4 linked regions of the Lepisosteus oculatus genome follow. The protein of the gene in region 1 interacts with the protein of each later gene in a pairwise test. Links are inferred from orthologs where the notes say so. Each region holds a gene or a part of one and is shown on either strand. Other genes may lie near its edges.

Region 1 (7,848 bases):
AGGACAGTGTACTTGGAAGTATCTTTTCACACTTATAAACATTTGTTTGGTCAATTATTAATGTATCCCTTTATATGAAACAAACTTTCAGTATATGTGTTTACTAGTATAAACTTCCTTATCTGAGTTTATGAACTCATGCAAATAAGTTTGCATTGCGATTCCTTTGGCAGCCAGCTTTTATTTACAATTTGAATAATGTGGATTAATACAAAGCTGGTATTGATGTCAAAGCCTGTTACAGATATATTTGCATTACATCATTTAGGAAATGGAAAAAGTACAGTTTGTAGAGCACAGATGCTGTAAACACCTTGTGTAAGGAACCAATTTAAATCAATGACTTATGCATTGTGAAGCAGTGAAAAGCACTTTCAAATCCAAAATCAAATTAATATTGTTTATTTTCAGTTTTCCTTAGCAGTTTATTCAGTTCATGCCAGGTTACAAGCAGTTTGGTATGCTCTGACCATGCAAGTATTTAATGAGGCATTTTGAAGTTCACGCATTAATCAGCTGTAGGCGGTGTGAAAGGAAACAATTTACACATACTGTAAAAGAAGAAAAACAAAATGGAAAAAGAGTTTGTTAGTTTATGGTGGGACTGAAGAGGTGGTCTTATTTTAAAACAAATGCAGACATCTCTGCCTACTCATGTAATGCACTCACAGCTCGGCACACGAAAGGTCACAACTAAAGGTTTGCAGACTGCATACCTCAGAAATACGTGGGCTGTATTGTTTCCAATGCTCTTTCAAACAAATTACAAAGTAAATAAGCATTCTTCATATTAGTTGTGTTTCTTTTTAAAACAAACTTGAACATTTTGGTATTATGACATTCAAGAACCCCATAAATGACAAGCTACAAAACACAGTAAGTATATTTACTTTCAGGAGCATTTAATTTTTTTTTCAGTTTTAAGATCTAATATGAAAAATGGGGAAGAAGTCATAAAGTTGTTGGTGTTCATTTTCTTTTCTTTTTTTTTTCTTTTGACTTTTTCTTTTTGTTTTAAGAACATACAAACACAGATTCCCAAGTCCGCAATTGAACCCAGGCCCTCAGCATCATGAGACAGCAATACTAATACTGCACCACCACGCTGTCCTATGATGATAATGATGATGATGTAGTAGTAGTAGTAGTAGTAGTAGTAGTAGTAGTAGTAGTAGTAGTTTGCAAGATGTCAGAGAAAGATTTGTTTGCATGGAGTTAAATTGCAGTCATTATGTACAGTCAGAGTAACCTGAATGTACTAAAGGCTTTAAACATTTATAGATTTCAAAATTATAACAACTAAATTACATAGAATATTAAGGTTGAGGTATATCATCTTAATTTTAATACAAAGGAAAATGAGTCATTAGTGTAATTTTTTAATGTTTTCTAGTATAGTACTCGGTAGACTACGATTAGAGGCACTCCCTGTCAGACAGCAGTCTTAGTAGAATTTAATGATGGTGGACAGAGAGGCTCAAAATGTCCTAAGATTTTCACAATTTCTGATAAAAATAATTCCATTGTGATTTTCATTGTGTTGTGTTCCTTCTTTCTTTGACTGTTTTCAGTTTAGGGCTTTAATAGACTTAATCAGGTTTCTCTAAGAATTACCATCTATTTTCCCCTCTTGATAAAATTTTCAGTCCCTGGTGATGAGTGGCAGCCACATAAAATAAAACACCTTGCTTTATAGTAGAGATGGTGTTGCCTTAGTGATGCTCTGAGTTCAGTTTGCTCCAGACATAACTCTCAAATTTAAGTTAAAAAAAATTGTGTCATTTGTGTTTGTTCCAAAAATATTTTGCCATGTCTCTTAAATGCACAGTGTCGTACACTTAATGCAGGATTTGAGATGGTTTTGCAACACAGGCCAGCTTTGTGGAATGATCAGGATATTAACAGTAACTGCTGTTACTGTTGGTCTCATGGTGGCATTCCTAACCAGATTCCTTTTGCCCAGCTGTTCAGTTTGGAGGAACAGCCTGATCTAGCCTAGCCTATTGGTTGGGTGGTACTATACACTTTTCTCTTTGAAATAATCAACTTCACCCTGTTTAAAGGGACATTCACTGTTTTTTATTTTTGCACCCTTCTCCCGATCTGTGACTTTCGCCACCTTTATCCCCAAGACATTTTTAAAGCTTCCTGGTGTTCATGGACTATCTCATTGGGAGAACTTACAGAGACTGGTATATTTATGCTGAAAGCATGTGAACCACTGTTATTGCACACAGAGGCCATTGAATTGAACACGTAACTTTTCAAAGTAATTTAAGTAGTTTGTCAAAGGGATTAAATACTTAACCTAACAACGAAGTGCAGTGTTTTATTTTTCTTTCTGGTTTCTGGTTTCTGGTTAATGCTGACAAGATTAAGATTACAAAAATCACTGTAAAAGTGTATACATTAATTACACCAGGTGCACTTCAGGTGCTGTGTATCACTGCCTCCCTTATAAAATTCTTTTAAAATGGTAATGCTGAGGTGGTAACATTTGACACGATCAAGACAAAGTTCAGAATTTTGAAATCTAGACTGTTAACAGATGATTCTTTTGCAAAAATTAAAACAAAAAAGAAACTTTTTAAGTACTGTTGCAGAAATGCTACTTATTGTGAAGTTCTAAAACATTAACCTCCTTGTGACACAAACATTATTTCAGGGTAAAAGTGGTGGGCTCCTGCAGTTGCCGAAATTAACCACATCTTTTTTGTTTCACTGTAGCAATGACCTGTGGCTCATGAAGAAAACAGTTCTATCTTTCGACAGCATTCATTTTGTGCAGTATCTGTAACATTCAGTGGCACATGAAGCAAATGTGAGCTGAGATTCATGTTTTCAAAATGGAATGAAACCTCCTGTGTAATACAAGAGGCTCTCCATTGTACTTCAGCCAACAAAATGTTTGACCACAACAGCAGTATTACCTCTACAATCTGGGAATAACTCGTTCAAACTCAAGTCTGTCACTATCCTATAGCCAGTAGGCAGGAAGCTTGAAGTCCCTAGTGCCATTATTAAACTAACTGCATGGTCACTGCATAAGATTAATTACAGCTGGCTAGACGTTTCTCGGCTTAATTCACATTGTCAACTCCTCAGTGCTACAGGAAACCTGCAGGATACTGGTGTATTGACAGGGTGTGGCGTCATGCCCTTATGAGTTTCTGTTTAGGATTGCAGTTGGAAAGGAAATGATTGTCTAAATGAGTGTATGTCCTGCGTACAACTTTGAGGTGTCATTTTCCACAGGTCAGATCAGGAGCAGAGCCCACGTCAGTCTGCAAATTATTTGGTGATTATAATTACATCATTTGATAAATTACATATGAGATTATGATGCATGTTTTTCTTAGATATGTTAGTCTATTCATTTTTTAACCAGCTTTTCCAGTTCCTGGTCGCAGCGGAGCTACTGTGCTGGCCCGTTTTTGATCATTTTGAAATGTGATTTTTTTCATTTATCTCACTTCTAAATAGAGCCTGTGCCCTTGATTTGTTAGGGTTATAAATATTTGTCACATAAAATAACTGGCATTTTCATTTCACCTTTTCACCTTGAATAGGTCAAAGGGTAGTGTATTTCTACTGCGTACTATACATATTATTGTCATGGCCTGTTAGGAGAACTCTGACGTGGCTCAGAGAGTTGCATCAGTCACTATTTGTGCTTTGACCACAGCTTTTAATGTTCCGAAAAATCCTGTAGATTCATAAGGATGGTCATATTTTCCTAAGGGTAAAACCACTATAAAATTTTATGACTGTGTTAATATTTACCCAGGTTATACTGTAGTTCCCTGATTCAAACAATACTGTTAACAGATCCTCTGCACTTAACACATTTAGCTTTCAAGGAAAATATACATATTTTCAAACAAAAGTATAATCAAAGTTTTTCACAGGGGTTTTGGGCAGTCAGAGGTGACAGTATTTGCAATAATTAACAATTGAAAATGAAGCTACAAATGAAAAATAAGTAAAAATATGAGGGCTTAAAAATCAGGTAATAGGACTTCAGCAGGAACCAAAGTAGGACTTTGAACTCTGTTGTTTCATCTCTGATTTTTTTATTAGTCGTCCCCATGAATGAACAACAGAAGAACGGACTTAAAATGAAACCTTTACTTCATGGGCAAATTGTCCCCCACAAAGATTCAAACTTAAAAAATAAAAAATAAAATTTAAATGAAAAAATGAAAAGGCATAAAGGACCTTTTAAAACATGAGAAGCACATAACTTGTCAAGAGAAGTGAGCATTGTGTTTTCCATGGGAAAAAAAAAAAGGTTTCTGTTTCTACCACAACCAACTATAGACAGACTCCAATGCCAAATTCACCAGTGTAGATAGCAAGCATGAAGAAACTGAATTACAGCTATGCTCATCTGATAAAGCAAAGTGTTAATTTTCTGTACTTTAGCAAGAGTTACGCCTGTGCTTTGCCTGTGGCAGTACTTTGTGTACTTTATACGTCACAGCTGTACCCTAGTGAGAACTTTTCTTACTCAAGTAACACATAGAACAATTTGTCACCAGGCAGCCAATGGTTTTCCAGAGCAGGTACATGTAAATCTAACACCGCCTCCATGTCTGAAACGCTACACAGAGGACATAAAGCTCCACACAAACCAGATTGAAAAAGACAGTGAGGTCTGTAGGAAGTATTTGTGAATAAAGGATGCAGAGTACATTATTTTTGCCCCTGTTGTACAGCTCAGAACAAATGGATATGGCTTGCTTTAGCGGTGAAGAGATGTCAGAGGTCCCAGTTGAAAACAAGAGAAACAAGTAAGTATCTAAATAATGATAACATTTGCATTTTCACTATGATTTATAGATTCTTCTACAGTGTGCAAGAGTGGAAAATATGGCATAAATATGCTTATATAATTTTTAGCAGTACATACTGTACAATGCAGTGTAGTGTTTAACTATAATCATATACTACAACTAGGAACTAGAGGTAATAATAAGAAGAGAAGCTGTATACAAGGACAGATACAGATACCTATAATGTGGCATTTTGTTTCCAATAACAGACAAAATAACTGGAGATCAAGGATAAGCTACTTCTTGCAAAAATCCTCCTCTAAGGAAGCCCATTCCTCAAGACGTAAAGCCTACAGGTAACATATACAATCAGATTTTAAACTTTTTGAAAGATATGTTTAAGAATACATGTTAATTATATATGGCTTACTGTGGGATTTTAATTTTGCATCTGAGTGTTATTGATGACACTCAGTGAAATTTCATTCTAAAAAATCATGTTCTTTCATGACAGACCTACAGTTGAAGAAGTAAACCAATGGAGTCAGTCTCTTGAAAAACTTCTGTCACATAAATGTAAGTTTTGTTTTCTTTCTTTATCATGTCAAGGATTTTGAAGTGAATATGCTAGACATCAGAGCGGGGCCTAAGTCAACAGGGCACAGGAATTTGTTTCTGTCATTTGTCTCTCAATTAATATATGTGCATTAACAGAAAAAAGTGAAACAGAGAAACAATGCTACACACATGCTGCAGTGGGCTTATGATTAAAGTGGCTTTGTGTAAGCTTTGTGTTACTGCTTGGTTTTGCAAGTACGTTTACAATGTTTTTCTGTCTACATTATAGTATTTGTTCGATAAGATGTTTATTTTTTCCTTCCTTTTAAAAGTATTATTTTCTCTCATGTATTGCAGATGGACAGGCTGCATTCCGGATATTCCTGAAATCAGAGTTCTGTGAAGAGAATATCGAGTTCTGGCTTGCCTGTGAAGATTTTAGAAAGATCAAGTCACCAGCGAAGCGAGCCTCTAGGGCAAATACAATTTATAACAAATTCATCAAGAGTGAGGCCCCAAAAGAGGTCAGTATGCATTTAATGACATTATTAAAAAATGTTTCGAATGGGTAGCTGCATCAGCATGCGTAGGCTTTAAAGGAACAAGTAATAGGTTTATTCCATGCTGAAAATGTTGTTTCGGCCATGGAGCTCACACCTGAAGAAGGCTCCACGGCTGAAACGTTGTGTTTTCTTTCTTCTCTTTTCAGCATGGAATAAACTTATTACTTGATTATTTAAAAATGACTACATTACTGACACCTTTAATTCCTACATGCTCTACTCTCTTACTTAAATATAATTTCTTTAAAAGTGTATTTATTATATATGGAATAAAATTCTTTAGAAATATTCTGACTTCTTATATCTGCTATTATTTATTTGTTTCAGATCAATTTGGATTTTCATACAAAAGATACCATCATCCAGAATCTTCAGGTGCCAATGACCTCTTGCTTTAATGCTGCACAGAAAAGAGTCTACAACCTAATGGAGAATAATTCATACCCACGATTTTTACAGTCAGAAATCTACAAAGAACTGTGGGCAATATCTCAAGGGAAAGGGAAATACCTGAAATCATGAACCACACCGGGGGCTTGCATAGTTTGAAAGCCTAAGGAGCCATAGCCTATGGCTATGGAGTTTGCATAGCCAGATTGCAGAAAATACTGTACTGAAAACAGTATCCACATCACCACAGAACTCTATGTTTTTAAAAGATCCCTTGTGAGTCCAAGGAGAAAGTTCACTGTGTGATATGAGCTGTTTTTAAAACAAAGGTAATAGGTGACCATAGAGGATGACTATAAAATTTCAGTCATAAAAAGCTTTAGGTAAAGATGCATGTAAAACAAACTTAATAACAATTTATGTATTTATGTATATACTTTCAATTTCAAGTTATTTTGTAAATTAAGTAATTCTTCCATGAGCAGTACAGTAACTAGAAAAAATTATAACCAAAAAAAGAATATATGTTTACACTAAAGTGCCTGAAACTGTATGAAAAGTCAAACATATTAAGTTAATTTGTGGAATGGTATATGAGCAAGTTACATTTTCTAGTACTTTTTCTGCTGGTCCACATGGAACCCAATTCATACCGCTAAAGACAGGTAATCACTTGATTCCAAGCATTCCTTGACTTGTAATAAGTCATGGCCAAAAATAGCTACATACTGTACATCCCATCACAATGAACAGTTTACATACTGTATAATTACTGACACAACATTTGTTTTCCAAATACGGATTGATCTTAAGAAAGAGCCCGTAAACAGAGTCCGTAAACAGTGTTTAAAGGGTAACTCTACACTTTTCAGAAATTATAATTTTAATAAGAGTTTTATTTCGTTCATTTACATGAATGATTTAATTCTTTATCTAAGACATGGCTTACATTTTAGTATTATACTGTAATTTGAAGCATTTAAAAATTCATTTCAGGAACAACAACTTCCTGTTTCTTTGAATAACAGAATTTAAATGGAAAATGAATAAAGAGTGTGTTTCCTGAACCTCAGGCAAATAAGTCAAGAATGTGAATGTACTGAATTATATATATATATATTCTTTATTATATTTTTATTTTTATTTTGTATCTTTTATTTTCTTTAGAATTTTACAAAATCACAATTGAGGTTGATTCTCAAGAGCTCATACTTATTGAATCCCCAAGTAAATGTTAAAAACACAGGAATATGTAACTGTAGGCTGCTATGTTTTTACATTAACAATTACATTTGATGATTGGATATATGACTTTCTGAACATACAGTAAACAATATTTTAGACTCAAACTGAAACAGCAGCTGGACTGCAAGTTAGTTATATTAACTTATTTTTATACTGTTGTAACAATTTACCTGGTCTGTATATTTTGTCTTCTAAATACATTTTCTTCATAATCTTGTACACCTCATTGTTGATTCAGTGTTATTGCTGCATTTAATTGCCTGTTCCATGTTTTTAAGCCCGTGGAAGGATTTATGGAGATAATCGATAAAAAAGTA
Region 2 (7,499 bases), on another chromosome or scaffold:
TAAATACACCTTATTTGACTATCATATTTTCATTTTAGGCAAACATATTTCTTCGAAAGCTAGACCTGTCGTACAATGGATTTGGGAAAGATGGAGCTGCAGCTCTCGGTGAAGCTCTTAAGGTGAACAATGTGCTTGAAGATTTGAACATCAGGTACAGTACAGTATGTGAAAGTAGAGTCTGAACTCAGATGAATGCCCACCATCCAATGAAAGTGTATTTCACTGTAAACTTAACTTTTGTCTCCCTCTTTCTGCTGATTTTAGCATAGCATGAAGAAACATGTAAAGTCTTTAAGTACCGACTGACATTATTAACTTACTGAAGAAAACTGTGTGCTTGAAAATGTCTATCCGGTGTAGATGGAAAGTTTTATACCTGTGCAACTCCTAGGAATAAATGCTGTAAATAGGTGTTTTTTCTGGTGAAAATTGAAGCGGACAGGCATGTCTCAGTAGTTGAATTTGAATTTGTTATAAAATACTACAACATGTTTCTATGTTTTAAAGAACGTGTTTCTAAAACAGGTGCCTGAGGGGTCTTGCATCTTTATCACAGCCAGAGCAGCCAATTAAAGAAACAATCTAATTATTTTCTTATTTCAAATCCATTGGATTTTTCCTGAGGTGTTTTACTGTTTATTACTCAGAGCATTCATGTCATTATGTGTGCAATTGCTGATAAAACACCTACGGATCTAGATAAAAGTATTAAAATTACATATTTAATTAATTAGACAGACTGTGCGACACAAGAGCTGGAAAACTACGAAAAGACGACATAATGACACCAAACCCTCCGGGAACTGAAGTTGAAACCCCTGCTTTAAAGATTTTGTCTTGCTCCCGTTTCCAAAGCTATCATTTTCTTGCATGTATCTGTTTTAGTAACAATCAGATCCCTCCTGAAGGTGCAGTGCGCTTTGCCATGGGACTCAAAGAAAACAAGACACTGAAGATCCTTAGTGTAAGATGTGAAATCTCTTACTTTTGAAATAATTCCTACGGTGTCCCCCGTACAGTAGATATGGGCACATAACACACCTGTTATTTTAGCTTGACATATCAAGCCATTTGTATTTTCTTTTTAAATAACCCTCTATACAATTCAGCAACAGTTATAGTTATAGGTACAGTTTTGAAAAGTAAGAATAGACTGACGTTAAGTACATGGGCCCCCTACAGAAATCTTAGATATCTACTTTACCATAAAGATTATTTAGGGATTAAAGGCACATTTCTTTCCCTTTCTCTTTTCTAGATGTCTCGAAATCCAATGCAGAGTGCTGGCTGTTATGGGATACTAAAATCAATGGAAGGGAACCCTGAATCTGCCATCGAGACCCTGGACTTCTCTGTACTACACCTTCGGCTTTAATTTGATTTTAGAATTATTCATATATATTTACTTTTCGTTGATGGCACAACTGTTGCTCTCAGTTACTGTTTTCTTCACGTCCTCATGCAAAACAATACACATCCTACAGAATGTTACGGATAACAGACATATTACATATTAAAATAGTTTGCTGTTATACTATTACTGTCCTTGTTTGAATGGGTGTGTGCATACTAATCAACGTTCTGTGTATATTTTTTCTCAGGACATCATCGTGAACAAGGATTTTGATGAATTGTACAACAAAGTCAAAGAAATGTTTCCGAACCTGCAGGTGAAACACGAAAGAAATGCAGACAGCTTTTCTTTCAAAACATCTAAAGTCCCAGTAAGTTGCTCAGCGAACAGCTTGTTGACGGACTGCAACTACTGTACAACACTCCACCTCGGGGAATATTATAACAGAATATGAATATTAATCTGTACTGCTAAAAACGCATAAAGCAATTTTATTTGTAACAGGGTAAAACAGACCCCCTTCTAGCGCAAGAATGATACTCAGAAGATAAAACCACCTGTCGAATCTATGAAAACGGTATATAATTATAGGTCAATGGTTTTTGTCGAATAAATACAGTCATCAGCCGACAAGGAAAAATTAAAGGTTAATTTCATCCTGAAAAGTAGGAAAAAACCACAATGTTTCGGCTGTTGAGTCTTAGTGTTAGAGTTATAGTTCTATATCTTTCTACTTGGAATTAACCTCCACTTGCTAGTTAGATTTTTTTTGTGTGTGTTCCAACTGCCTGTACAGTCATGCATAGATTTGAGATATATGTAGATGAAATGATAGAAAAATCTGTCTTTTTTAAAATTTTTACATCAAAAACATCCATCCATCCCTGCAATAGAGTATCAGAAAACCGCTTATTCATAACGAGGATCAACCTGTAACCTGTCCCAGAAGAATAGGGTGCAAGGAGGGAAGTTGCAAAAAGATCTGACATAAACAACATACTGTAGAAACTGTCACATCAATGCATAAATTACTGCAAGAAATATGGCTGTATTAAACGATAGCAGCTACAGAATCGAATCAATGGATGATTGCTGGACCTGCAATGAATGAGCAAACAATATCCAACCTCAAGTGCTCCTGTCACCTCTAGAAAGATCCCTTAGGAAAACTGAAGTATCACATAAAAAAGAACAACTTGAAGCTTGAGGATTCTTTTGACTCTGTGGAAGAGGGTGGAAGTGCTCTCATCACTAGAGCAGAGTTTCAGCTGGGACTCAAGGTTAGTAAACGCACAGCGCCTCTGTCATAAACCTGGAATGTGTAACATTATTACCATATAAATTGCCATTGCTCAAAAGCTCATGAGTGTTTTTTGTTTGATGCAGGGGATAGGAACCTGTTTAACCATGGAAGAAGTGCAGCAACTCATGGATGATCTTGATAAGGACAACTGTGGTGAGATTGACTTCAGGTACACTGAAATAATCTTTGTAACACCTTTTAGAGGAGTCTTAGCTGCACACTTTTGAACAAGCATATATTAATATGAAGAAAGCTAATGAGCCTTCTGAAGATACTGATTAGTTAGGATGTGTAGTCTAAAACATTTTTATGTTGTGTAGTATTTGAATGTGTCTGAGAGCCATGTGCTGTCCATATACTGCTATAGTGTACAGTATTAGATAGAGGCAAAAAACAAAACAATATTCTTTTGGTAATACAAATAATCCAGATGTGAGGAAATGAAACTGATTTCTCCTTCCTTTCTGTTTTTCTTGTGTTCTCTGGTTTAGTTTTATAATAGCCCCAGAGTGATGTGAGTTTACAACTGTTTTTGTTTTTCTGTTTTTCAGAGAGTTTAGCACATTGCTGAAGAAAGCTTAACACCGCATACTGTATCTGTCTATTATCGTGGGTACCTTGGACCGCTCTGGCATTTTGCACGAATAATAAAAAGATCACAATGTTGACTGTTTCTCCTTGTCTCCTTGTGTTTGAATCTTCTTTCGTCCCTTCACAAGTGGTGCATGTGTTTGTAACAGATTTAATGTTTTGTCCCCACAAAAAAAGCAACAGAATTGAATAAGTCAATAAGAGCATAAGAAGTGAATAAGTAAATTAAATTATAAATTGTTTCAGATTCATCTGAAAGTGTGAGTTATTTTCAACCTTACACAGGATAATAAAACACTTTCAAGTTCTAATATGAATACTGTATATATTATTCCTCTTTATGATTAGCTTAACGTACATTAGGAAAACACATCTTATTTACTTACTGTAGGTTATTGGGGAAACAGCAGAATGGTTAAGTCTGGGTGCCGAACACAAAAACACAGAGGTGTTGCAGTTTGTTAACAATAGTGCAACAGAAATTATACTGTACATGATGTTTCATATTAACAATGATAAGGTAGAAAAGTAAGCCTAGAGCAGGGTATGTGGTTTTGTTAAAAATAAATTAAGATAATGTAATGGATAATATTATTTGTGGGTGGGACTAGTTAATATTAGAATGACCAACATACATCTAAGTAACATAATTTTCTTAGTTATCCCGTGTATACGACAAATTAAAAAACATAATGCATACTGGCATGATAAGAGAACAGTATTTACATTTAGTAGCAGTACAAAGACTTTTACTAATTAATATACAGTATGATTAAGGACGGAAATAAATACATTCGTGTGCATCATTCACACTGTAAATGTATTAATAATTTGTTTTGTTCATAGAACGTGTTATTTTGATTTTGATTACATAACTTGTTTATTTTTTATTATTGTATATTAAAGACCATAGAGAGAGGTTTATATTACACACAGTGGGAAAAAAACAATAATTATAGGACATTATAAAAAAACAGTTGTTTGTAAGAGCCAGGCATACAGCCATTGGCTTGTTATTTTAGAGTCAATGAATCGATCTCCGTTGCGAAGATATTTTGTTCCTTAGTTATATTCAGGATCACGTCACTTGAACGTGTGCAACCTTTGAGCAGGAACTAAACTCGAGTGATTTGGGTGAATGTGACACACGGATCTACACGTGCGACACATCCAGAAACCACTGCAATTTCAGCCAGTATTTTTCTTTTAAATAAAGCACAGCGTTTTTAAAACACTAGAAGATGGCGGCGACGTGGTTTTTAAAACTGCCCAAACCCCAGCAATTACTGTGTAAGAATACTTTGGGGCTGTTCATCTTTAAAAGGTAAAGCCGAACTAGTTGCAAGGTTTAACAGAGAGCATGGTTTTGTTAAATATATATGTTTATTCTGCTGTTTATAGACTCCTGTCACTGCAGTGTTTTGTGCTTAGAAACGAAGGTGAAAGATGTGCCTGCAGGTGCATTGCAAATGCTCGTGTCCTGACGTTAGACAGGACGTTACACGTTTTCTAAAAGAAAAAAAAAAGAAAATGTATGATATTTTTAATTATGGCAGCTTCTTTGATCGGAAGGGTTCAGGCGCTCCGGTTGTAAAATACAATGAATGATGTTGTTGACCAGTTGTTAACAAAACAAATGGTTTCTGACCGTAATGGAGTCGATTCATTTTTCATTTTCCTATTTAGTAGTTGGTGTTCTAGGAAATAGCACGAAAGCTCACTAAATTACTATTCCGTGCAGATGTGAGGAAATGAAACACATTGAGAAAGGTCTAATGTCTAAGTCAATCGTTTTCCTGGTTCCTGAACTTTGCCCCTCGGGGCAGTAGGCGCTATCACATGACCACTACAGTTGATGTACTGAACAGGGAGTAGCCAGTGCTGAAAAACATCTGAAGTGGGCAATACTCAGCAATCAATTAGACTTATTTGTTGTGAGCTGCTTATTGGAAACATGCCGTCTTGGCAAACATACCTTTGACTGAAGCCTCTGAGACAGGCAAAATCAGAAATCGGTGTTTGTCTTGAAACATTGTTTATCAATATGTTTCTCACCCTACACCCCTTATCCGTCTCCCCATTTAATAGAGGTCTTGCAGACAAAAGCTGGTTCCAGTCTTTGTTTGTGCATAAAGTTGATCCCAGGAAAGATGCCCACTCCAACCTGCTGTCAAAAAAAGAGACCAGCAACCTGTACAAAATACAGTGTGAGTACAGATGACCTCAAATGGTGCTGCTGTTTCTTCAGGTAGTTTTTGAATTTATGCAGAATAATGCCACTGTTAAAATTCTGTAAAGCACTGTGTGCACTGGATTTCTCAATAACAACAACCCAACCATTCATATACAATATACACCCTGCACCCATGCAAACAGACTCTACTACAAACTCTTTGTGACTAAGCAGATTCTTTTCCTTCCTATTTCAGTTCACAATGTGAAACCAGAGTACCTAGACGCCTATAACAACTTATCGTAAGTAGTACATTGTATTTTATATTTTGACTCATTCACGCTTAGTTTAATCACTTCAGAGGATTATGGAGTCACCTTCATGGTGGTGAATGTGTATTTTATACATTTCAGAAGGGTCCACTGTGGTTTAGCTTATGCAGTTAATTTTTTAAAATCCACCAGTAATTAGCAATGACTTCATGATTATTATCAGTATGATTTACTCAGGTATTTCTTGCTCTGATCACACTTTCGGTGATAGAAGGAGTTCGAGTGTCAATTGTGGCATTGTTGTCTGTGGCCTGCAGAGCTGAGGTTCAGAACCGACTGCACTGTGACAAGGACTATCCTTGTGAGATAGTGGGAAGCTGGAACACTTGGTATGGGGAACAAGACCAAGCTGGTAAGTGTTTTCTGTAGCTCATTCAGTACTGCATTGAGCTCATGGCATACGTATTATACAAAAGCGTAGGAGATTTGTCATATGTTCACTATCCATCCATATTTATGGCACTTGACCAAAGTTGTAAAACGGACCCTTTTTTGTAGCTTTCTGCGTGATCAGTATGGTTATAGTAGTTCAGGTGGGTATTAAATGGTTATATGCTGATCTGCTGTTTCTCCTTGAAACAGAATACAAAGACGGGTGAAAAACCCGTGTTTGTATTCTTCAAGTGGTAAGGGTAAGTAATAGCGACCCCTGCTGTTTTCCAGTGGTAGGACAAAGCAATAGTTACCTGTGCTGTTCTGCTGTTGCAGTGCACCTCTGGCGATACTCTGGGGGTTATCCAGCCTTGACTGAATGTTTAAACAAGTTGTGGCAGGATAAGGTATGGAACTGGTTCTTGTTTTTTCCTTCATATTATAATTGATGGTCACTGATATTTGTTTCTGTTTGTCACTGTATGTGGTTCTTCTGTTGTTGGTGTGTTGACTGCATACAAAGGTAAGAGAAAGTTAAATCAAATTAATTGGTGAGGTTCTGGCTAAGCGTGTATATACAGGTACCTCTGTTTTGGTGACTTTACTGGAAACAATTCAGATATTGGAGAAACAGCATCATAAAGTTGAATATTAATAGTTTTAGGTAGTTGTCTTCAGGGATGAATTGATACATAACTACTAAAGATCCCAAGGTGTATAAATAGGCTTGCTCACTGTCACTTCTCTGGAAAGGATTTATAAAAATACATCACACCCCAGAAAATGCACTAAAAACACCAAGTAAACAATATGCAATAGTTATCATACTGTATGAGGTTACATAGTATACATTCTCTCTTCCTGTGGATTAAAGATATTTAGGCAGTCCATGTAGATTTAAAGAATGTCAAGAATCTCTTGTGAATGGAACATTGGTCTTCTAAAGTAACCTTGGTTTTTTTTTTTGTGATTTTGTTTTGCTCCTGTGATGATGCTCGTGTCATGTTTAGAAAGTGTTAAAGAAGTCAAATAGTGAAGTGTATGCATTCTGAATTACTCTGCTGTGCAAAAGTCTTTGGTGTCTTGGATGACAAGAGTTAAAATATGTGATTGTTATGAGCATCAGCAATGTACTGATGCCTTCATTAGTGTTTTCTTCTATGAAAATTACATTGAATGTTATTGAGCACATTGAATGCTTAGTTTAGATGAGAAGAAACCAAGCTTGTCACTTATTTTTCAATTCACATTGATTTTTAAAAAACTCACAGTGGTTCAATTGTAAATGTGAATATCCAATATAAAGTGTTGCAATAGCTATTCCATCATACAGTATCTATCAGTCAAGTCTAATTGATTCATTGTTCCCTA
Region 3 (7,638 bases), on another chromosome or scaffold:
AGACAGTCACTGTCGCCTGAGGACGTCTCGATCTGCTGTGGAAATCTAGCGTGCCCCCGCCCAGCCCAGGATGCCCAGGTGCGCTTCTTGAGCTCTTCTGCTGCTGGTGCTCAACTGATTCTTCCCCCACAATCGCAATGAATCGTTTTTGCTCACTGTGGCACGTGTAGTGCTTTTTCAAGGTCTTTTGAAGTCGAGGAATTAAAAGCCGCAGCTAGCTGAGGCTATGTGCGTGGGGAGCGTACTGGCGCACTATGGCTGCCGTTGCATCATCCAGGTGGGGCTGCACACTGGTGGTGGTGGAGGGGATCCCCATTACCCGTAAAGCGCTTTTGAGTGGAGTGTCTAGAAAAGCGCTATATAAGTGTAAGCAATTATTATTATTATTATTTTGTCAGCTATGAAAGCTTGACTGGCCGGGATAGAAGTGTTCGATCGAATTGGATCCCAGCAGCTCAGCAGCGAGGGCTGGGGCAGAAACTGGGACTGTGTCTGACAGGGCTGGACTAGACCCCCCTCCTCCCGGGGGGCTGGATTATGGCGGGTGTCCGCACCAGGCGCTCCCCAGCTCATGGGATACACGGTGCTGTCCAGACAGGTCTCCCCCTCCCCTCCTCCCTGCCCACAGCCCTGCTCTCTGACTGCACCACCACTGCCCCCGGCCTGCTGTCCAGTCCGGCAAAGAAGAAGATCCAGAGGAAGACAGGAAAGTCAGGAAGTCAAGGATAATAATAATAATAATAATAATAATAATAATAATAATAATAATTGCTTACACTTATATAGCGCTTTTCTGGACACTCCACTCAAAGCGCTTTACAGGTAATGGGGATCCCCTCCACCACTAATGTGCAGCATCCACCTGGATGATGCCGACAAGGGGTACCTACAGGACGTGATCTGTGATGTTCCCACTGGGAAACACAATCATCTTCCCCTGCGCCATCACCCTGCGAGCGATCGTGACGAGGAGATACAGCTCGGACCCCAGGACCAGGAGCGGGTCTTCGGCTCTCCCCCACAATCGTCACCCCGACCCCAGGCCACGCGTCAGAAAATACACACACCCCTACCCCCTACCATGCCATCGCCTCGACTTAGCTCATCCGTCTGTGTCTGGCAAAAAGGCTGGGCGACTTCCTGCATCTAAAAACGCTGTCGGCGCTGATCAGGCGCTGAAACTGCTCTATCGCTCCTCTCGCGCATTTGGAAAGCGCTGTGTGTAGTCATCCGTCCTGCGCCCAGTCTATAGCCTGCACCATGCAGAGAATCTCTTATGTAAGTCGTTTCAGAACCAGAGACGAGGGAAGATTCTCAGTGCCTTTCCTGGTCGCGTTACAAAGCCTGTCTGTCATTCCAGCCCGGTGTCTTATCCATTAGGCCCGCAGTCTGTGCATTATCCCCAACGCCGAGATGTCAGGCTTCGGTTGTGTTTTTTGGTGTTATGCTAAGTACTACATTACATTTAGTTAAATAAATGAGGCGCACGTTTCTTCCAGTGAGCTGTACTGCAATATATATAATGAGACTTCACTCCGTGCACAGAAGCAGGCACACTCTCACTACCCAGATGAAATGACTAAATCCACCTGCCACAGCCCCAGCCTGCCACACGGCTCGTGCCGCGAGGTGCCGGCTCGCCCGTCCACGCGCTGCCCCTCGCCCACCTGCCGGGCTGCACCGCACTGCCTCGCGCGGCTCGCGAGCTGCCGCGGCCCCCGCTTCACCACGCGCGCTCAACCCGCTGAAACCCGCAGGACCGTCGCCAACTTCTCTCGGACCCGCGCCGCGGAGAAGGCAGGCAGCGGACGGGCGATGGCAGCCCGTTGTGTTTTTCGGGGTTGCGAGCGCGGAGGCTCCCGATGCAATTCGAAGCCGTTACCGGTCTGCCGGTCCCCCGCCTCCGAGCCCCGAGCCCCGCTCGGACAGCCTTGGCGACGCTCAGTTGCATTTCTGCACCGGCGGCATCGCGGCTGCGTGCGGCGATAGTGACAGGAGACCCCAGCCGGCAAGCGACATCGTGTCTGCTGCCGTGCCGCCCCTCTCGACGAAACGCCAGACGATGCCGCTCTATCAGACCAGACTCCCTCGATCCCGAAATCGTTCGCCACCGCTTTTCGCGCTGTCTTCCCCACAGCCTGGGCGGCCCCCCGGCTACACCGCCCCAGCCCCGCGGACTGGGGCGCCGAGCTGCGCCTTACCTGCTCCTCCGCGGTCAGCTCCTTCTCCAGCTGGCGATGCCTGTTGTACCACACCAAGGTGTGCAGGGGGTATTTACTTTTCTCCGGAGTTCTCCTTGTGGAAATCATCCTCTGTGCATAGTTCGCTATTCTCTCTCCTCTCTTTTTTCCCCGGTTATTATATTCTCAGGATCGCCGGAGCCGGAATAGCGGCTGGTTACAGGAGCATGATACAGATATAGCGGAATAGATAGAGGGAGCAATTAACGGCCGGGAAATACAAGGCTTTCGAATAGAGATTACAAATAAAAAATAAATACATTCATATGTGACCGACTCGCCTTTCTTGGATTTTCCGATGATTCCACCTTCCTCGCCCCCTCCCTGTCTGTACCCTCTCTCTCTCCCTCCCTCCCTCTCTCTCTCCGTCTCTCGCTCGCTCTGCGAGGATGAGCGGGCGAGGGGAGGATTTTCCGCGTATTGACTCGAGCTGTAAGCAGCTCATCCGGTCTGGCTGGCCGCTGGAGTGACAGGCTGGAGCTGAACATGTTACCCGGCGAAGCACTGCTGCCCCCCGGCTCACAGACACGCGCGGCTGTGGCGGCGTCGTGCGTGTGAATGTGTGAGAGTGAGAGTGTGTGAGTGTGAGTGAGTGTGCAGGGCTCGCCGCCCGCCAGCCCGTGTGTGTGTGAGTGTGAGTGAGTGTGCAGGGCTCACCGCCCGCAGGCTCGCGTGTGTGTGTGAGTGTGTGAGTGTGAGTGAGTGTGCAGGGCTCACCGCCCGCCAGCCCGTGTGTGTGTGTGTGTGAATGAGTGTGAGTGCGTGTGAGTGTGAGTGAGTGTGCAGGGCTCACCGCCCGCCAGCCCGTGTGTGTGTGTGAGTGAGTGAGTGTGTGTGTGTGTGTTTTGTTTCGGGCTGACCGAGCAGACCTGGGCGAGTCGGTCGTGAGGACCGTGTCCAAATGTTGACGCGTCAAATTGAACACGCGGCTCGAGACGCCGGGCTTGCAACATGGTGTGGACGTGGACTCCGCCGTCGCAGCAGCCTGCGTGTATATAGCGCCTTTCTGGGCTGAGGACGCTAGGGCGGTGCCGCCAGTCACAATCACACGCGCGGATCCGATCAGAAGGACATTCCGTTTCCATTCTTCGCTTTCTAGAACAAAACGACGCAGGTGAGACTAGTCAAGGGAGCATAGTTATAAACACAAGAATCAGTTGTCTCTGCAGTTTAATTTCTCTTTTCATAAGTAGCTGCTTTGTTAATGTGGTCGCCGGTGGGGCAGGACGACCCCCCGGGTACCCCCATGAGGGGCTCTAGGCCAGAGGGGCCAGAGGGGGCGCTGTCTCTCCACGCCGCTCCTGGGGGATCTAATCCGTCTGGCGGCCAGTCTGCTTGAAGGACAGGCCAGGGCCAGGCCAGGACACTCAGTAATTCCTCATGGATCGACTTCAAAGCCCCTCGAGACGAGCTCACAGGCGAAATCTTTGTTCCAGCGCGCTGTTTACGCTTTTGCCCGGTCCAAATGTCTGGTCTCCCCGGACCAAAGTAAAATGCTAACCAAGCTTGTGGTTTATCACAGTGCTATGGGATATCTAACGTCTTAAAGACGTCCTTTTAAGTGTTTGAAAAACCGCTTTCCGGCCCAGAGGGTAATATCTTTGATCTTCTACTGCAACATTAAGTGCATGTTACCGCACTTATTTTGAGTGTCTCGGAATCTAAGGGCTTCTGAGTCTCACTTGAGGTCCAATGTCGTGGATCATCTGGACAAAACCCGTGAAGAAAACAGAAAACACTTGAGGACAAACCAGCTTTCAGGGGTATTCCTGACAAACCTCGGAGAAGCCTTTTCGACCGAGGGAAAGTGCGCACGACTTTGAAGGAATTCTTCGATATCATCTCTTTAACACCGGAGCACACAAGTCCAAATTAAGTGGAAGCGCGTTTGAAACTGAAAAGAGGAGACATTTTTATAGGCTTGGGGGATTCTGATGGAAGCTATATGCTGCTGATATCCAGGCTTTTTCCAAGAAGTAGCTGGATGAGACCTTTGGATCAATTAGCTACTGAAAACCAATTATCTAGATGGTCTTCTCGTTTGTAACCGTTCTTAATGTATTTGGTGTTTATAAACGGCTGAATTACCACCGCCTCTTGATACTCCCGAAGGTCTTGGACACCGCTGTGTTTCCAGCGCTTCACGATTAAATACAGCGACTTTTTCGACTCTACGTCAAGACGCAGGGAAACATGCAGGTTCCTCCCAGACGGGGCTACATTTGAAACTACAGTAGCTGCCTACGTAGTTAATCGCAGGTGTCTGTTTTTAATGGGAGTTGCTTGACGGTTTATTGGTGACTCGGCGGTTAGCGCTAGTGCCTCGCAGCTCTTGATCCTGGGTTCAACTCCGCATGTTCACGCACATTGCGGTGGGTTTCCTCCCACCGTCCAAAGGCGAGCTCCTGGGCTGTTAGGTGGGACTGGTCAGGCGTGCTGTAATACGACCTCAACGCCGGCAGTACCGCAAAGAGCAACAGGTGCAAGAAAATATCATTGGATTGTCGTTGATTCTTATGGTGAAAGCAAAACTGAAAGCACGGGTCTATTTTTTTAATTTCTTAAAGTCGAATTATTCATGCATAGGTGAGGGGAGAGAGGGGTGTTCGGAATAAGACAAAGCCGTGTCCGCAATGCTAGCGAGGGAAAACGATCATTGACGCGCTAAATTCGGCTCAGACTGACTGACGGACGGACGGACAGGCAGGCGAAGGCGCAGACAGAGGGACAGGGGCTGCCGTGTGCGGACCCCACCGTGCAGTTAGGAGCCCCCGGGGAGCGGGGAGGCTGTGGACGATATTTGCAGTGATCTCATTGTACTTTGTGGTCTGATGAGCAGCCCCTGGCTGCGATAACGAGCGAACTGAGAGCGACGGTGCCGGAGGAGGAGGGGAGAGCGGCAAGCAGGGGGAAGCCAGGAAAACCGGGGAAAGTGCTGCGCTTTTTCCACGCACGAACACTGCCCTCGCCTCCCTTTCAATGAAATCAATCATCCCAGTTTCCCCTGTAACCCACTTGCTCAGTACGCCGACGCCATATAGGAAAACCGGGGATATTTCTGTGCACTGGGGAGCGAGAAACGCACACACGCAGGCAGAGGCCGGGGAACCTGTTCCGTGCTGTGAGGCTTCCGGGCGATTCGGGAGCAGGGAAGCGGCAGTCCAGCCTTTTTCAGCCCGGGGAACGGAAAGGCGACTAAAATAACAACATTTCAACACCATTGGACACAATGTCCAGGAAAGTGCAAAGAAGCGAGGTCTGCGCCGACTGCAGCGCGCCGGGTAAGATTTTGTTTTTTAAAAGGCGTTGTTAGCAGCTGGTGTTTGGCAACTCGGGGAGGGAAGAGGCACTGGGATGGGAGAGGGTGACCGGAGATGGCGGTCGCATCCCGGGATCGGGGAAATAGGAAAGCGGCCCGGCGCGCTCTGTGGCCTAGATGCCCTTCCACTTGCAGTGACCATTTCTCCCAGTAAAGATTCTGCTGTGGTCGAAAATATACCTATTAACACGAAATCATACGCCACTCGTAGTGTTTAATTGTAGTATTATGTTTATTTTTTTCCAACTGACAAGGCGTTATCCCATTACATTGCGTGTGGTATCTACTGGTATATTTTTAATATTGTACACGTTTATACGAAGCGAGCTGTTCAGGGGAAAGTACGTTAAAAATCTGGGTTTTCAAATAAAACGTCTCCTTTTGTTTTGGGTAACTAGCTAGATTCTCCAGTCTAGCTGGGTAGTTGTTACCTCAATGGGTGTGCGTTACTGGGACATTAAATACCGTGATTACTGAAAGGCGAAATTGTATTATTTCTCATTAACTGCAGTTTTTTTTATTCAATCAGAAGAATAAATGGCAGTTTTAATTGGAATCCGATGTGAAAACAGTTTTGTCGATAAAGACAATTTCCACTGTGTATACCCTAGAGGCCATTACATTATTCCGAAGTCGACTGGTTTTGTAGTAGTAAGCCAGCCGCCTCCGAACATGTCGTTGCCTGCAACGCAATTTACCAGTTTTTGTTGTTTTTAAACCCTCGGAGTTTGAGTGAACCGAGTTCGGCGGATGCCTTTGCAGGCTCCAGAGCCCGGCGACGCCAGACCAGGCGCTGCTGCGCTCGGTAGGTTTTGGGGTCACAGTGTGGGCAGGTTCTTGCCGAGCCCCAGCGCCATACGTGCCGTCACCCTGAGTGACTAAGCAGTTTGTTCTTGTTTTTCGGGGGTCACACCTAGCGCAGGAGTTTGAATCTTTGAAGTGCAGCCATACATTATAAAGTAGTCGAGAAGCTGAGATTTGACAAGACACGGCTGGACGTCTGCCGCCTCCGGTTTCCGGTTTGCACAAGACGGGAGTCTAAATCCTGATTCCTGGAAAGGAAGAGGTTGCGGAGATGTGTTCGTTCTCTGTAAACGCTGTGCAAGGCCCTTCCAGGTTTTGCAGTACGAGCTGTACACGAGTATCAGGTGCAGCAACACTTCACACTTTGAGCCATATTTGGAGTAAATGCTAAAGAAAGAACTGCTGAATCTAAATACTGGGGCACAGTATGCACATTGTTTGCCTGGAGCTGGTCACTCTTGGCACTGGGACCCCAATACACACAAGCACCCCCCAGCCTGGAGCTGGTCACTCTCTGTACTGGGACCCCAATATACACAAGCACCCCCCAGCCTGGGGCTGGTCACTCTTGGCACTGGGACCCCAATACACACAAGCACCCCCCAGCCTGGAGCTGGTCACTCTCTGTACTGGGACCCCAATACACACAAGCACCCCCCATCCTGGAGCTGGTCACTCTTGGCCCTGGGACCCCAATACACACAAGCACCCCCCTGGCCTGGAGCTGGTCACTCTTGGCTCTGGGACCACAGTAGCAGCTGGCTGCGCAGCCCGGTCTGTCTCCCGGCAGCCGACTAGTCTGTCAGAGGGTCTGGAAAGTCGATTTGTTTTTGCGACGACCAGACAAATGTTGAGCTTTTTGAGAGGTGACAGGTTTTCCGGAGAGCATGAACACTCGCACATGCTGTATTCTGTAAGGGTTGGGGGGGGCTTTCAAAGCGCTTTGTTCCACAGTAGATTTTGTTCGGCTTTTTCAAACTCGACTTCCAGATAAAAGAGGCAGAGAGGGAGACAGAGATCCAGTGATATGTGATGGAAAATTGTGATATTCTGCGTAGCAGCTCATCTCCCCTAAGAACTGAGTGAACGCGAGGGGGAATTAAATTAGGATAGATGTGCTGAATTGGGCTAGAGTCGGCAGAGCTGCAGGTGGGGCTGGTCATTGTGTCCTGGCACTGGAGGTCGTGGTGCACGCAGGTGAGAGTGTGGCAAAGTGCACAAGAACATACTTTTGTGCACTTGTGTGCACGTTGCTCACCAGCGGACCTGTGAGAG
Region 4 (7,759 bases), on another chromosome or scaffold:
CCTGTCTCAGTGTGCCAGCTGGCAACCCTAGATGCCATCTCCCTAAGGAGACGCGGGATCCGTTTCAGAATCAATGCAAGGTAGAGGAGTAGTGTTCATGCAGACTTCCTGGATCGGTCTTAGATCATTGATCCCAGCTCACACCGCACAACACGCTTCATTTGAATCTCCCCTGTGACCAGCACCCCTTATATAACCCGTACAGATGAGTCCGCTTAGGGCACGAATGGCGGTAACGAAATGGATAACAAGTTGTCTGGATGTTGGTTCAACAACACAGAGTTCCATCCGGGGGGAAATCATTGAGGAATATATCTCTATAACCCTGTAGAGACTGAATAATCACAGATTCAACTACACAGTTACTGGGCGAGAAAAAGAGACGGGAGGACAGAAAGACCGGGCGATGACAGGTCCCCCACCTCACTGTTTATTTGTCGAGTTTTTTGGGCGAATGGGACCGGATCCGTCTTTCTTCTGGGTTTAACTAACGCCATTAGGTAACACGGAGAACTCGCCCAACAGAACAGGAAGAGGTGACAGAATCCGCGGTGCTGAACGATTAAACCACAGCTGGATACAAAGTAAACACTCTCCTAATAGATTTTTCGTTTGTTTACTGGAAGATCCACTTCACTGTCTTGATTTATGGTGTTAAACCCTTTCCTAATCCTGTTATATTAGGAAGATTAAACGGGGAGGGCAGATCCACACAAGTGTGAGGTATCACCACATTCTATAGTTAAGTAACAAGAAAAGACACCTAATCCGCCCTAATTCTTGATTAGCTCTCGCAGTTTAACGATGAAGCACATTCAGTGCATCTCTGCTCCACGTTACCATTATGCACAGCAATTTCATAATTAAAAATAAAGTTGAGCTAAAACAAATACAGTATATCGCTCGTACTCATCGATGATTAAGACTGGTAGAACTGGAATAGCATTTACCTTTGAGAAGGACCATTAATTTGCTTAATACGGCGCGGTCCAGTCTGGTCTCGTGGGTAAATTTCCTCAAAATCTCCAAATATCATCACCTTGTCGTAAGGAGCGGTCGACTATGAATGCAAAAGGATCCGTTTGGGTGTCTTGTGTATAATGACAGTCTGTACCTCCGAGGAAACCAAATAGGTGAAGGAGTAGCGCCTCACAAATTAAGTATCCAAAGAAGAAACAAAAAGAAAATAAAGAAGAGTGTGCTCGGGAAACAAAAACTTCTCAGTGGAAATTAAAGAAACTGCAGAGCGCTATTAGAAAAAAAAATCTCCGTAACCCGCATAAGGTTAAATTGAAAACCGCACCTTAATTCCAAACCGGTCCACAGAAGAGGCGGTAAAAAAGCCACAACCCAGATCTGTACTTCCAGAGCAAATGTCCTACTAAAGCACATAGCACCTGAAAAGGAGAAACGAACAGACCACAAGGTATGCCCTTTAGGTACTAAGCGTCGCGAACAGCCCCTTCTTCCGTATAGTCTCGAAAAATGATCTCCGGACCCTTTGGGTAATTCCCGTTTTGCTTGGTTAGCTGTGATAATAATGAAGGATAACGCAGGGAACCGTCCAGTCCTCTGTCATCACAGATAGACAACACTTTGGTGACAGCGATTTCTTAAAAAAAAAGACGCAGAGAAACCCGGCAGCTGGGGGGGGTTTGATTCAGAGGAGCTTGTGATAATTTGATCTTCCTCCGTTGTCCTCTCCCGGCGTCCTGGCGTCGAAGAGATTCGAAACTCTCCAGCGCAACACAGAATAAACTGGAAAGACTTTACTTCCCCCTTCTTATTTTCCGCGTCTTTCCCGGCTTTTAGGAAGCACGGGTTGATCGAGCAAACCAGCCTGGCGCGGGCTAGTTCTCCATTTTAATGCCTCAGACCTCGTCGCGCTAGATCCCCGAGGATTTCCACTTCATTTGGGATCAAACAAGGGAATCCCACCCACGCACATTGCTAGCGCGTTTGAAATGCACAGGCACACGTATACAGTCTATGTGTACATGCGTGTGCTCTCGCATCTATGTTGCCGTCCCCCGGCTGCCCTCCATTCCCCCACCGCACGGACGCAGCGGGCTGTTTCTTGGAAGAAATCAGCTTGCTGTCTCCAGTTTCACGCCACGGGTGAAAGCGAGCAGGGAGGCAGAGGGCAGCGCGCGTTTGAAAGAACTGAGGGCAGAAAAAATGACACGCATCCAGGCAGGCCTGTTAATTTAAGCCGGATCTGGCCAGAGGGAATCCTGCAACGGGACTCCTCTCTTTAAAAAGATCAAATGAATCAAGCGCTTAAGCGGCTTGTGTTTGGGGGACTGGCAGGTCAGCCCCGGTTTGATACCACGCACTGTAAATGCAGAGCGACGTGTCTTGGCTTGGCAGCGGGTCTCGGAGAACGGGCTGGGCGGCTCGATCCAGCCGCTGCGTGAGCTTGTAATTTGTCCTTATTTGTTTCCGGATACACGCCGGTCTCGCCGTTGAGCCCGCCAGCCCCGGAGGAACGGCAGGGTGTTACCGCGCTCCTGCGCTACACAGCCTACGGAAGAAGAGAGCAAGAAAGACATCAGTTGTCCTCGGCGATGCTCGAATCGGATGCGTTGTGGGAGTGTTGCGGCATTCCAGTCGCATCCCAAAACTTTGCATAAACACTCGGCTGATTCCTGACGCTCTGAATGATTCCTGCGGCACGGCAGCGTAGTTTCTCCTGCTTGAAATACAGCATGACGGTTTAGGAGACTGTCCCGGATACGAATGCAGGGGTGTGTTTTTTTTTATTGCTGTCAAGCTATGAAGCAAGCAACACTACATAGAGATTGACGCTCTGCTGGCAGGATGGCTACGGCGACCAGCGCTATACAGTACATGCCAAGGAATCGAAAGAATAAACAACCCTGCAGATGTCTTGCGACAGGGAATCATCGGCTAAATCGAGAGGCTGATTAATTACTAAAAGCTGGAATCAGTTTCCAGTATCTCCGTAGACAAGGCGCCCACCAGACACTAGGAACTCCGCTGCCGCGCGGCTTAAGCGAGGATGTGCGAGTCTGAGAGATTATTCCCAAAGCTCGCCTGTCACAGGGAAGATGGGGGTTTCGGGTCGCTTGCCGGCAGATATGAAGGCATTCCAGGTCTAGCATTCATATACTCCAGCTAAAACTGATCTCAAAAGACGCTGCGCTGACATTCAGTATATCGCTAGCCTGAAGAGGTGCTGAGATGACTGGTTATAAATTGCTAAGGAAATGTGCAGAAAGAGGCTCTGTATTTTTATTTCAAGCTGCATCACATAGAGATTCCTTCCCTCACCCGAAGCAACAGTGCACACAGTAGTATCATAAGCAGAGAAATTAGAAATGTTGCCCCTCCGTGCCATTACTTCACTATCAATCAGTTTATCGGATCCCTTTCAATTCGGAAAAGGGCTGTATGTACCTTGTACCTCGACTTGCAAACCTTGTCAGCAGAAGTGAGTTGTCACCCTCACGCCAGATTTCATCCGGAAGGGACACGGCTGTACCATTTCTTCTGGTGTCTGAGTGGCATGGTGAACAAAAGCTCCGAGCTGGTATCTATAGTGGCTGAACCGTACGATTCTAAAGTGAAAACGGAATGTATGCACGGAGAAATGTATATTTTGGAAGGTGAACCTAACATACTGTACCAGCAGTGGGGAGCTGTGATTAACGGCTTGGACCCTAACTGGACGGTTGTGGGTCGAAATCCCATGTGAAAAACAGAGCTATTGTAACCTTGAGCAAGGTACTTCACTCCGCTTGCTCTATTAAAAATGCCCAGTTGTATAAACGGCTGCAAAGGGAATGAACTATAGCTAAACAGGCATCGTCAGGCACATTAAATACAACAGATCTTACATTTTCTTTCTGACAGTTTATGCGATGGATTGCGGCTCAGTGGGACGCTCGTTTGCATATTCAAACCATTCCCCACAATGTCGCTGTATTTATTTTCCCCAGAATGCTATAAACCTCCACGAAAGCTGTCAAATGAATGAACAATGTCTTAATCACACACTGCTCCAGTGCTTCAGACACTTATTGCTAACTTTGTGCAATGTTTCCTTTAAAAAAAACCCCACCATATTATACCACATTTGCGCTTAACGCCTTGCGGGGAAGCCGAGGAGTTTCAAGACGATCGAACCCGCTCCGGCTCGGCGCCGAGTGAAGGAGCTGTCCAGCGCAGAACGGCCCTGAAGTACTCTCGTCGATGGTTTCTGCCTTCTGCCCTGCTCACTTCCTAACTACAAGAGTCACACAGGAGGCATTTAAATACTTCAAGTAACCGACTCGTGTAATTGGAAGAAAGATTAAATGATACTGACAAAACGCCTTTTTTTTTAATGGCGCCCCTCTATCACCTTCGGAAGGCTAAGGTGAAGTGTAACTAACGTCCACCTTTACAGTAAAAGTGAACGCAAAGCCATCTTGAAATCAAAACTTAAATTTTTGATTAAAGAAGGGGGGACAGCTTAAATAAACTACTGTAGCACCTTCCAGACATTTCCCATGCTCACGAGCGTGTATACGTGCCGTGCACTTTTGACTGAACAGTTCAATGTCTGGGACTTTCCTGAACCCTCTGCCCGCCGCACTAACACACGGAGCAGCACTCCCAGTGCGGATACACATACGAGCACAAACAGGGGAGACAGAAGGGCGTTCCTTGCCTACTGCCTACCGCTCCCCTCTTTTCTCGATCGATGATTTTCACCAAAGAGGTGCTGCACTTCATCACGGCTCAGACATAAGCGACAGCCGACAGACCTACGGGGCGCAGACGCTATTTTCAGGGTGCGCGCAAGAGTGAGACAGATGCATTAGCAGGGCTTTTTCTAGATTCCTCCGGTGTAACTCCGGTGTTAAAAGGATAGGGCAGACAGAGAAAAACAACGCTATTTCTTGCCTTGAAAGAAGAGCACAGAGATGGAGAAGGTCAGAGGGACTTTACCATTTCTTGTTTCAGGAAATAATCTACGTCGTCCACAATAGCTAACGACACGCGAAGCTATTGCTGTTTGACAGGAGAAAAGGGGATGATGCAAAACTTCTGAGGAATTAAGTAGTCCTATTTGATAATAAAGTCTAATCACTTTTTTTAATAAGTTTTAGATTAAATTAAGTCATTACGAGATAAATCACATAATTAAATAATGTGATCGAGCGCCTCTGCTGGCAAGAAAAAGCATTTACATGACCAAGCTTTATTAAAGCAAGAACAAGTTACTTTAGAGTACATTGGATAACCTTCTTGAAACATCTTATTACTTCACTAAAAAATGAAAGAACACTCCATTATTAATATTACATAATATTACATTGTTATAGTTACATATTTTTATGACTTTATCATTTCCAATTATTTAATATTTTACTTTTTCTGATTTAAGTTATATTTAAGCAAGGTTCCTGTGTCCAGGTTAGGACAGAAGCCAGATTTTTTATCTTTCTATACATAAAAACACAATATAGTTATATTTCAAATAATGACTATACATATTTATAGACATCAAAGTTGTAAAATATGTTGTAAAGTTGAGTAGAATGCCCCACTAAGCCTACATAATAAAGATGATAAAGAATCCTTTTCGGTTTAAACTGGAAACCTGTAAAATTGAAACACTACGGTTGGAGTGTTCTTATATCTGAAATTGTCTGCATGCTTTCAGAATCTGAGGTCTGCAGGAAGCGATTGTGCAGTTAACAGCAGTGCACAGTTCACAGGTCACCTTTTCTAATACTATAGTAGTGGGGAAAAGACATCAACCAGATTCAGAGCCTAAATTAGGGTTGGAGGACTTGTCTGAGAAATATTAAAAGAAACAAACATTTTGCTGCTATGTTTGTTGTGTAACGGTTCTTCAGGAGTTTTATGCTGTATCAGCGTTTTATGTCTGTATCGGCACCTATATGAGATAGACAGAGACTAATGATATTATTGACATAATAACAGCTAACATACCTGCTAATGACTACCTTAACCATCAGCAGGAAAAAAAAGACCCAGCCAATATTATTAGGCCAGGCAAGGATCAATATCAACCATGGAAGGTCATTACAAATACAGAGAGAAAGCCCTAAGGTCTTTGGTCTCACACTGATCAGTGTGAAGGCCGTTTGTTAGGATGTGTCTTGACAGCACAGATGGGAGGTTTGGGGCACTCATTGCCTAGAATCTGAAAACTTGCAGAAAGGTCTTATATTTGTGGTGTGAGACAAGAGGCCTTTTATTTCTATTGGACTATAAAGCAAAATGACACTCAATCTTGGGACAGTGTCTAAAACTCAGATGGTGTCCAGGGGTATGATCCAAAGCACAGACAGAGCAGGAAAAGGGTCACAAATTGTCAATCAGACATCACTCATTTGGTATAAACCTCCTCTCTTCATATGGACAACCTTACATTTCTGCTGCCTTCTTCCTCTCGAGCTTTCATCTCATTGTTGCCTGTGAAAGCATCAATCAAAAGCAGTTACTGTACTACTGAAGCTGTACGCCACCAGTACTTCTGGATAGTAAGTTAACACCAGCAAAGGCACACCACTGTAAATCTTTTTAAAATGCTAAATGAAGAAAATGTTTCTGAATGTACAGGTATTTGTAACATGTCATAAAAGCTCGGAAAAAAACTCTAGTCGAATGCAGCAGAAAGAAAATTCATTTTAGTGGTTCTGGCTGTCTTTAGGCATAATAGAAGATTTAGTTTTTGAAGCTCGGAATGCAATCCAGATACACAATGTTGTGCACATTACAGCTCTTGCTCAGTCTTCAATTACCCTTATGACAACATGAGGAATTCTGACTGTAAGGACCAATGTTTTATTCTCTGAGAACTATTTTCAGACACTTGTTCAGTGGCTTTGTCTACAAATCAATACCAGAGTAAATAATTTATTTAGTAAAACAGAACCTTATAAATTAGACTGATTAGATAGCTGACAACACATTTGTAGCAAAAGACATTGGAGAATGTTGTGCATTTCACGCCTTTAGAAGTCAATAAGCTGCAATGCCTACAGGACGAGGTCTATTTATTTACTTCTGCGCCTTACAGATGAACAATATGAGTCTGCCAACAGTGATGGAAGCCCCAATTATTGTTATAAGATTTTTAAAAATGAAACATAGACTCTCGAATAAATAAGATGTATTCTCTAAAATTTCAAGCTTATTTCCTTTTGATTTTCTCAAAAAAAAACCAACAGAAATGTTTGCATGATTCCTTAACTTTAAGAATAGTTTGGGGTGTGTGTGTGTGTGCAAACAGCTCTTGAAGCCAGTCATTAGAATACATTCAGCCTACGGCTTATGGGTATCCCTTAAATAATCAGTTTCTAAACACTTGGAACATCGTCATTTTTTTCACTGAAGCAGATGGCTTCCTCAATTAAGCTGTTTAGAGATCATTTGATCTGTATGATCAAATGAAAGCACCAACACCCTGTAGTTCCTAAGGACCACTTCTGGCCATCTCTGATTTAAATGAACCAATTAACTTACTGAATGGATCAAAGCTCACATTCTATGTGTTTTCTTACAAATTGACAATTTAAGGGTGACCTATTAGCCCTGCCGGATTGTGACTTTCTAGGATGAGGGCTGGCCACAGGACCTAGAGATATAGCTCTCTATTCATATCCAGATCTACAACGTGGGCATATACCCATCTGTCTGTTGAAATATCGAAACAGTGTTGTATATATTTTTCTACACATAATAGTGACAGACAGAAGATGGAGGAAGAAGATAACTT

What was found.
Region 2: the proteins of rgs2 (region 1) and nipsnap1 interact in a two-hybrid assay, tested with the Homo sapiens proteins (2 studies listed by BioGRID and IntAct). The link is inferred for Lepisosteus oculatus from reciprocal best matches to the Homo sapiens genes RGS2 and NIPSNAP1.
Region 3: the proteins of rgs2 (region 1) and git1 interact in a two-hybrid assay, tested with the Homo sapiens proteins (2 studies listed by BioGRID and IntAct). The link is inferred for Lepisosteus oculatus from reciprocal best matches to the Homo sapiens genes RGS2 and GIT1.
Region 4: the proteins of rgs2 (region 1) and lrfn1 interact in a two-hybrid assay, tested with the Homo sapiens proteins (2 studies listed by BioGRID and IntAct). The link is inferred for Lepisosteus oculatus from reciprocal best matches to the Homo sapiens genes RGS2 and LRFN1.

Annotation. Positions count from the first base shown.
Region 1 is NC_090704.1:12,398,934-12,406,781, reverse strand, and holds rgs2 (regulator of G-protein signaling 2), read left to right. Parts: upstream 1-4,591; 5' UTR 4,592-4,683; coding exon 4,684-4,793; intron 4,794-5,044; coding exon 5,045-5,131; intron 5,132-5,289; coding exon 5,290-5,351; intron 5,352-5,690; coding exon 5,691-5,857; intron 5,858-6,223; coding exon 6,224-6,418; 3' UTR 6,419-7,750; downstream 7,751-7,848. UniProt on the Homo sapiens protein: Regulates G protein-coupled receptor signaling cascades. Inhibits signal transduction by increasing the GTPase activity of G protein alpha subunits, thereby driving them into their inactive GDP-bound form.
Region 2 is NC_090717.1:4,647,185-4,654,683, forward strand, and holds the start of nipsnap1 (protein NipSnap homolog 1), read left to right. Parts: upstream 1-4,286; 5' UTR 4,287-4,492; coding exon 4,493-4,575; intron 4,576-5,339; coding exon 5,340-5,458; intron 5,459-5,680; coding exon 5,681-5,726; intron 5,727-6,013; coding exon 6,014-6,108; intron 6,109-6,464; coding exon 6,465-6,535; intron 6,536-7,499. Other genes in the region: lrrc74b (leucine-rich repeat-containing protein 74B), read left to right, coding at 39-154, 889-967, 1,262-1,357, 1,605-1,727, 2,509-2,637, 2,744-2,829, 3,212-3,242.
Region 3 is NC_090721.1:10,575,641-10,583,278, reverse strand, and holds the start of git1 (ARF GTPase-activating protein GIT1), read left to right. Parts: upstream 1-4,607; 5' UTR 4,608-5,469; coding exon 5,470-5,521; intron 5,522-7,638. Other genes in the region: ankrd13b (ankyrin repeat domain-containing protein 13B), read right to left, coding at 2,202-2,309. UniProt on the Homo sapiens protein: GTPase-activating protein for ADP ribosylation factor family members, including ARF1.
Region 4 is NC_090698.1:3,518,852-3,526,610, forward strand, and holds the start of lrfn1 (leucine-rich repeat and fibronectin type III domain-containing protein 1), read right to left. Parts: upstream 3,090-7,759; 5' UTR 951-3,089; intron 1-950. UniProt on the Homo sapiens protein: Promotes neurite outgrowth in hippocampal neurons. Involved in the regulation and maintenance of excitatory synapses. Induces the clustering of excitatory postsynaptic proteins, including DLG4, DLGAP1, GRIA1 and GRIN1.